Linked DNA regions of Daphnia pulex. The main gene of each other region encodes a partner of the protein of the gene in region 2 in a complex. Links are inferred from orthologs where the notes say so. Each region holds a gene or a part of one and is shown on either strand. Other genes may lie near its edges.

Region 1 (3,756 bases), about 310 kb from region 2:
GATGACCGCCAGCAGCTGCACCACCACCACCACTCCCCGCACTTTCCGGAGGTCGATTCGAATGTGAAGGAGGATGACCACTGTTCGAAGATGGACGGTGGCCAGCAGGAACGCTGGCCGTCGAACTAGAAGGAGGGACGAGGGCGCCAGTCTTGTCTCTTCTTTGGTCATGTGGCCGAGGAACTCTCTCGCCTGTAACACATGCTCAAATCAAGCATTTATCTCAACCAATTTAACTTTTCAATCGTTACCTGGTTTGGGAGCAGCGCTTCCGCTGCTGCTTCCGGAAGATTCATTCCTGACCTTGTGAGCATCTGGATGGCTTGATGACGCGTCTTTGCTACTACTACCGGATGCACTCTTGTCCGACGATGTCATGGCAGAAGCATTGACTCCAGGTTGTTGCATCACTCGTTTCCGCAGTCTCGACGGGCATTTATTGAAAATCGCCAGAAATTCAACGGTCAATTCGTCCAACATTTCTAACGTCACCGTTTTGTCAACGTACGTAAACCAATCTTTACCCTCGGCACTCTGTGGGATCTACGGTGTTCAATTGTAAGAGTTGTTAACGAGGCAGTTAGATAACATTTTGAATTGTGCAATTTTGTTATTACCTCAAAGTTGAACCATTTGCACACCAGGTGGATGCAAACACAGGCCACTACAGTGGGCTTGTACTGGAGGCACATGGTGGTCAGGTGCAAACTACCACAACATGACACCTCTAGTTACTCCAGGAACAACACAAGTTGGGCATTTACAAAATTATAGTTACCTATTAGTGGCCATGAAGTAGGAGGTCTGAGCCATGTCCTTGCTTGAAGATGCTAAGAAACGAAAGCCAAAGAATGACATTACAGTTAAGCGACTAGGGCTTTTGAGCTTGAGCGAAAAAACCTACCTCTAAATAGATGCTGACAACACTTGAGCACTTGTGTGTGAGGGTGGTCAATGGCGACATCAAAGCCAAGAGTCTGGAGAAGGATATTTTCATTGTTTATCAGCTCTTGAGCTTGTTCAATGTATTGCTGGAAGATAACGTAAACAAAACAATGAATGAATATGATGTTTGAATGTACAATGGTTTGTATGAGAATTTGATACCTCAGAGTTGATGTCCAAGTTTCGCTGATCCTTGTAGAGAATCATGTGTGCAACCCTAATGACATGTTCCAACTTTCTGGGCTGTTCCTCAACTTTGGCGGCTAGGAAGAGAGCACAGGAAGAGATTGGATTTCGATGGAACTTGTTGAAGGAATGGAACATGTAGAACCGGTGCACATAGACGATGGCTGTGTTGATGCACAGTTGTGTCCTAAAAAACAGAGAAACCAGTGTGATTTGACTCCATACCTTTTGTTGCAAGCGATAAATCGATGTCAGAAATGTTCAAGCACGCATCATTATGGTTAAAATCCAAAATACGACCAATGTGTGATAACGTAAGAATGTGTTCGGGGTGCGAAGAGAACAACTTCCGACTTGAAACACTTACACTTGTAATCTTTGACCCATTTCTTGAATTAATGTTGCCGCCTGTTGCCGGTAAAAGATTTCCTTGTCGTAGTCGATGTTGCATCTTCGGGAAGGAGTATTTTGTAATTGTTCTTTTGTAAAAACCCACTTACCCTCCATCGAGGCAGCCATATTTTATACACACTATTTTCTAGACCTCGAAAACGACCGCTATCGGCACCACGCTAAAAGCTTTTCCCGCCAGCCGCTAGAGTCCACCCTTGTCGACGCACTCCTATTAGGTTACTCGGAATGGCGAAACGATGCAAAATAACACTGCACAAACACGTAAACATGATAACTCCAATTCCGCATAGCTCTCCTTGAACTCATTTACCACTCAATTGTGCCAGATGTGTAGGAAAATTGCAGAGTAAGAACTATCGACAGTGCCCTCAAAACGTCCCGCGTATTTTACCCACGTCTTCTGCGATGGCGCTGACTCTGCAGACCGTTACGTACTATACTCTGGGGCTTGAAGGCTACCAAAAAATGATGTAACAGTTGGAGGCTGTCACGCACTATTCGAGGCTATCCGGAAAAGAAAAAGCTCACGTACTCAATGACCCTACCCCCAATTTAATTCGTTTACCCCTTTAAGTGACAGTAGATTTTTATCCTGTCATCTTTTCCAACACTCTACAAAACTGATTTCCGGTACATCCACATTCATGTGGATGCCTTTCATTCACCAATGTCCCTGAAGACTCGGCACACGTTCATTGCCCTCATTTCCAAGAGCCTTCCAAAACTAGACACGTTTTTTCCCATCAAGACAACGTCGCCATACGTCTTTTTTTCTCTCTCTCTTACATAATTTTACGTCGTCTTAAATAAATAAACTTTAAACAGTTCTTTATCTTTTATCTACACTGCGTATGTGTGTGAACATTCTGGGAGAACTGTATTTTTTTTGTTGTAGTTTTTTCAGGAAGAAAAAAAAAACATGAATGCCAAGAGTGGGGAGGAGGAGAAACGAGAGAGAAATAGTATGATATTTATACATTGATGAGGAGACGTGGACCAAGACGGAAAAGAACAGCATGAAAGAAATTCAATCCACATAAGAAGGGGAAAAAAAAAATATGAACTTGGTTAAATATTTATAATCAGTTGTTCGACGGGAGTCGTTTGTCCTCTCCCTGTTCATAATTTCGAACGATATAAAGAGTTGAAACTAAGTGACAAAAGAACCCATGCAGAAAGAGCCCCAGAATTAATTGTTACTCTTTTCTTTCCCGCAATTCGATCCGAAATTCTGTTTTTTTTGTGTTGTTGTTTTTGGAGGAAAAAAAAAGATAATAAAAAGGGGGAGCAGGTGTAAACATGGAAACAGAATTGGATGTGTGACTTTGACAATTATATAGCACGGGAAACAAAAAAAAATAATAATCATAAAAAAAAACACACATTTGGGGGAGGAGTAAACGGATAAAGGTTGCGCCAACAGATCGGTGTGACAAGACAACCAAACATAATCATCCATTTTTTTTGTTTGTTTTTTCAATTCCTTGCGCGACTATTTACAGCAAATATTGTGAATCACGTTACAATGACCTTTTACTTTCTTTCTCTCTCTCATTCTTTCTATGTATAAATTCTATCACACATACTCAGTCTTTTTCTTCCGTGTATGTACTCGAAGAGCTAAAAAAAAAAAAATTAAATCAACCGCCATCTTGTTACTACGATTAAGGAAGTTAACTATTTTTTTGTTTTTGTTTTTGCTTGTTTACGACATACTACGTAGTTCTGTGAAAGAAGGGAATTTATATTGGGGGGGAATTAGCAATTCGCTTCTACGAAATTTGTTGTTTTGGAGAGTGACGATGTTGGTTATCTTTTCTTGCTCCTGGGAGCGCTACCCTGGCTTCCTTCCCATTCGGGATCGTTGGGATCCTCGTCGTCGACGTCCAGATCGTCGGCGCCAGGTGAGCTCGTCGATTCAGAGACAAAAGTAACAGCTTCGTCGTCCACAGAAGACGTCGTGGTCGTCGGTGTGGCTCCTGAAGGTATAACGACCGGCACTCCTCCTCCAACACCGCCGGCAGCAACCCCGCCACATTCCGATGATCGAGCTTCTCGTTTGCCTGCACGTTGGACCGCCCCTTCCGAAGATGCCAACTCATCGTCTTCCTCCGGGGGCATCTCCTCAACCAGCTGCTCGAAAACGCTGTCCGGTAGAGGGAAGAGGCGAGGTTCGTAAGGAGCCACTGTGTAAAACTGCTGATAGGAGAG
Region 2 (3,400 bases):
TGGCGTGATAGTCTCCCAGCACCTTGGAAAACTCTTTGACCTCGTGACGCCGCATTTTGAATAGTTTGAGGTAGAGCAACGCTTGACAGCGAAGCGACAAGATTTGGAGCTTGGCGTCAATGTTGGCCGACTGGGTGCCGGCTTGTGGTTGATGCCGAAATTTGGACGAGATATAGCGGATCAGATTGAGCGTGTCCTTGTACATGGTAAAAGCTGCTTTCTCCGTCATCCGGTCATGCTCCATGGCATTGCCCGTCAGGATAAAAAACAACACTGCTTCCAAATATTGTACTGCTTGGAGGGTCCGGTCCGTTTGCTGTCGAATGACAAAAGAAAACGGCGATATGAGCAAATGACCAATGGAAAATGAGGGGAATCAAGGAAATGATGGAATATTACCTGCTTGTCAGCCGCGTGCTTGAGAGCTTTAGCTTCGCTTAAGAAATGATTATGATCACGATCTTCGTGTTCCAATTGATGTGCTGGTGGTTCCTCAAAATAACTGAAATACACAATGCTGGTTCCCGGCTGCGTTTGTTGTTGGCTGCGCATCATGGGCGGAGGAGCTGGTGATGCATTTCTCGGATCGTAAGGAGACAGACAAGACTTGACATCAACGGACGGAATGTGTGTGGGTGTAGGAACGACCGGAGCGAGAGGGCCAGCCTCGTCCTCCTCCTTTACTTCAACGTCGATTTTCCGCCTACTCTTCTTCTTTTGAGCCTTGCCCGTTTGAGTCTCGATTGATTCCTCCACCTCGTTCTTCCGTTTCCGTTTGCTCTCCTTACGATGTGACGGCGTTTCCACCGGCGGCACGACTGAGACGGACGAAGTTGAACTGATGCTTGATCGACGTTTGGAAGATTTCGACGCCGACAATTCCGCCTCACGTTTAATAGGCACTGGCGTTCGGGTTTTGGTCTCCACAGGTCGCTCCGCATTCTTCTCCTGCGTAGTAGGACGAGCCGCAGGGATAGGAGCAGCAGGAGCAGGAACAGCATTATTAGCCAATTTGCATAGAGGTACTTGGCAGATCAAACTAGGCCGGCCGTTGACGTATGGGACGGATGGGCCAACTTTAGCAGGTGGTGGTGGAGGAGGTGCCGCAACCGCTTTCGGGCTGGCTGTCACCACCTCGCTAGCAACTTTCTTGGGCTCCTGTTTACCTTTGACGCCTCTGCTGCTGTTACTACTGGGAGTTGTCGCTGCCTCGGGAGCGACTGCACGATCCTGCCTTCCTTTAGCTCCGGGACGATAGATTTTCATAAATAAAGCACACTTGCGATCAGAGCTGGGCTTCGAGTCCATGTCCAGTTTGGGTGGACTGAAATCCTTTTGCAATTCTTCCTCTCTCGGTCCTCTCGGTTGGCCCTTGCCACCTCCACTAGGTATTGACCGCCCGCTACTGCTGCTGCTGCTGCTCGAACTGCTGCTAGAGCTGCTGGAACTGCTGCTTCGACTGCTGCTAGAGCTGCTGCTACTCCGGCTCCGGCTGCGAGATGGAAAAAGGACTCGGCTGGTCACCGTTTCCGGTGGAGTCGGCATCTTGACAACGGCGGCCAATTTAGATGGACTTTGAGAGTGGGTATTGGTTTTGCGCGGAGTTGTCGGTGGCGTGACCGTCACAGAAAGGCTGGGCTTCCTCGCCTTCAGAGGTGACGGCGTGTTCTCCACATCCACTTCACTGTTGGATGGCGATGACGAACTGCTCACCGAAGATGTTGTCGTGTCGAGAATTTCACGTGATATCGGTGCCTGCAAGCTACTCGCTTGTTTCTTTGGTGGTCGGCCTGGCCGTTTGGAAACTTCTTTACCAGAAGGAGGTGCGGATGAGTTGACTTGCTTCTTAGGAGGGCGGCCAGGACCTCTCCGTTTGGGAATAGCCTCTGTTGGCGCTGCTGGAGCTGGTGGCGGTGCTGGTGGTGGAGCGGCTACCACTACTGGCTGTCGTGGCCGCACTTCCGGCACCGGGCGCTCATCTTCACTGCTACTACTCTCCGATTCAGATAACCGATTCAAGTTCACTTTGGCAGAATTTTGAGGCTGTTTCACTCTTCGATTGGCGGAGGCTTTGGAAGCAGACGAAGGCAAGTTAGGCCTGGGCGTGACGTGATCCTCCGAGTCGGACATTTCCGACAACAGAGGTTCGGGCACGATCATTTTCGACAAGGCAGAATTGAGGTCCGGCTGCTCGGAGTCACTATCTGAAGTCGCTTTAGCGATGGACGATGTTGCCGCGCTCTTGTCCCCTTTGAAGAGGCCATCGTCCAGTTCAGACGAAGGATTGGGACTGTCAAATCTAAGGCCAGCTGAACTGCCAAAGAAATCGTCGTCGTCATCATCCGGACGACGAAGAGAGTCGCCCAGTGTATCTCTGCGATCCGAGGAGATTTGATCAAGGCCTGATTGAGAGACGTCCGAACCTCTAGTAGCGCCCTCAAATATACTGCTGGGTGGATTGATTGGCAGAAACGACTTTAGACTCCAACTTGGAGTATTGGCCGGCTGCTGTTGCTGCTGCTGGATAAGGAAAAGAAAAATATGTAAATAAAACATGTGGCATCCTGCTAGATCAATATCGATCTTGTTGGTTGATCGGTCGGTGGGTCACGCAATGGCAAAGTTCCTGGTCACCGCATTATAAAACCTGTTTTACCTGTTTAGGAGGAGATGCAGGCGGAGGTTTCGTCTCCGGCTCCAAGTGCTCAGCGTCAGAGCTGGAATCCGAGCTGGAACCGTCCGATTCTGAGCTAGAATCATCTTCTGAGTCATCAGCCTCACTAGCAGCGGCTGTAGCAAGACCAGAAGGTGGCGAACGAGGCCTTGGCGGACTGTTCATCGGTTCCATGGGACTGGAAGGCAGTGGGCTAAGAACTGGGGCAGTAGAGGTGGTGGCGGCGGCCGAGATCTTGATGGAGGATTCCGACTCAGAGTCCTGGTCGCTGTCTGAGATGCTTAAATCATCCATCAGCCCGCTGTTGGAAGGCATCCGCTTCGGAGGTGGATGAGGATGACCGAAATCAAAGTGCTCCACTTCCTTCCGCGGAGTGGCAGCGATGGCCGTTAGCGGCGTCATAGCTGCCGATTTCATCTCTTTGAGGATGTCGTGGATATCTGGATGACCAATCCTTTCCGGTGTTGAGGATGGAGGGAGAGGATTGATGAAGTTCAACTTTGGTGGTTGAGGCCGCATGTTGTTAGTTGGCTGACGCTGCCTCTGCGATGAGGAGGTAGACATGGACGAGGATGATGACGATGAGGACGAAGACGAAGATGATGACGACGACGACGATGATGATGCACCGCTGTGATATCCTCCACCAGGCCCTGGTCCGGGAGCCTTGTGTAGACCCGTACTATTACTACTACTGCTGCTGGATCGGCTCGGCGGAGCCGAATT

The links. Proteins that work in one complex are often made in the same cells at the same time.
Region 1: AF4/FMR2 family member lilli-like (region 2) and cyclin-T2-like share a complex: the UniProt entries of both Drosophila melanogaster proteins name them as parts of the super elongation complex. The link is inferred for Daphnia pulex from reciprocal best matches to the Drosophila melanogaster genes lilli and CycT.

The regions. Positions count from the first base shown.
Region 1 is NC_060024.1:8,843,199-8,846,954, reverse strand, and holds the start of cyclin-T2-like, read right to left. Parts: upstream 2,238-3,756; 5' UTR 1,651-2,237; coding exon 1,499-1,650; intron 1,319-1,498; coding exon 1,108-1,318; intron 1,032-1,107; coding exon 905-1,031; intron 831-904; coding exon 779-830; intron 709-778; coding exon 618-708; intron 544-617; coding exon 252-543; intron 193-251; coding exon 1-192. Other genes in the region: KAT8 regulatory NSL complex subunit 1-like, read right to left, coding at 3,355-3,744. UniProt on the Drosophila melanogaster protein: Regulatory subunit of the cyclin-dependent kinase pair (CDK9/cyclin T) complex, also called positive transcription elongation factor B (P-TEFb), which is proposed to facilitate the transition from abortive to production elongation by phosphorylating the CTD (carboxy-terminal domain) of the large subunit of RNA polymerase II (RNAP II).
Region 2 is NC_060024.1:9,152,901-9,156,300, reverse strand, and holds part of AF4/FMR2 family member lilli-like, read right to left. Parts: coding exon 2,657-3,400; intron 2,521-2,656; coding exon 400-2,520; intron 317-399; coding exon 1-316. UniProt on the Drosophila melanogaster protein: Has a role in transcriptional regulation. Acts in parallel with the Ras/MAPK and the PI3K/PKB pathways in the control of cell identity and cellular growth.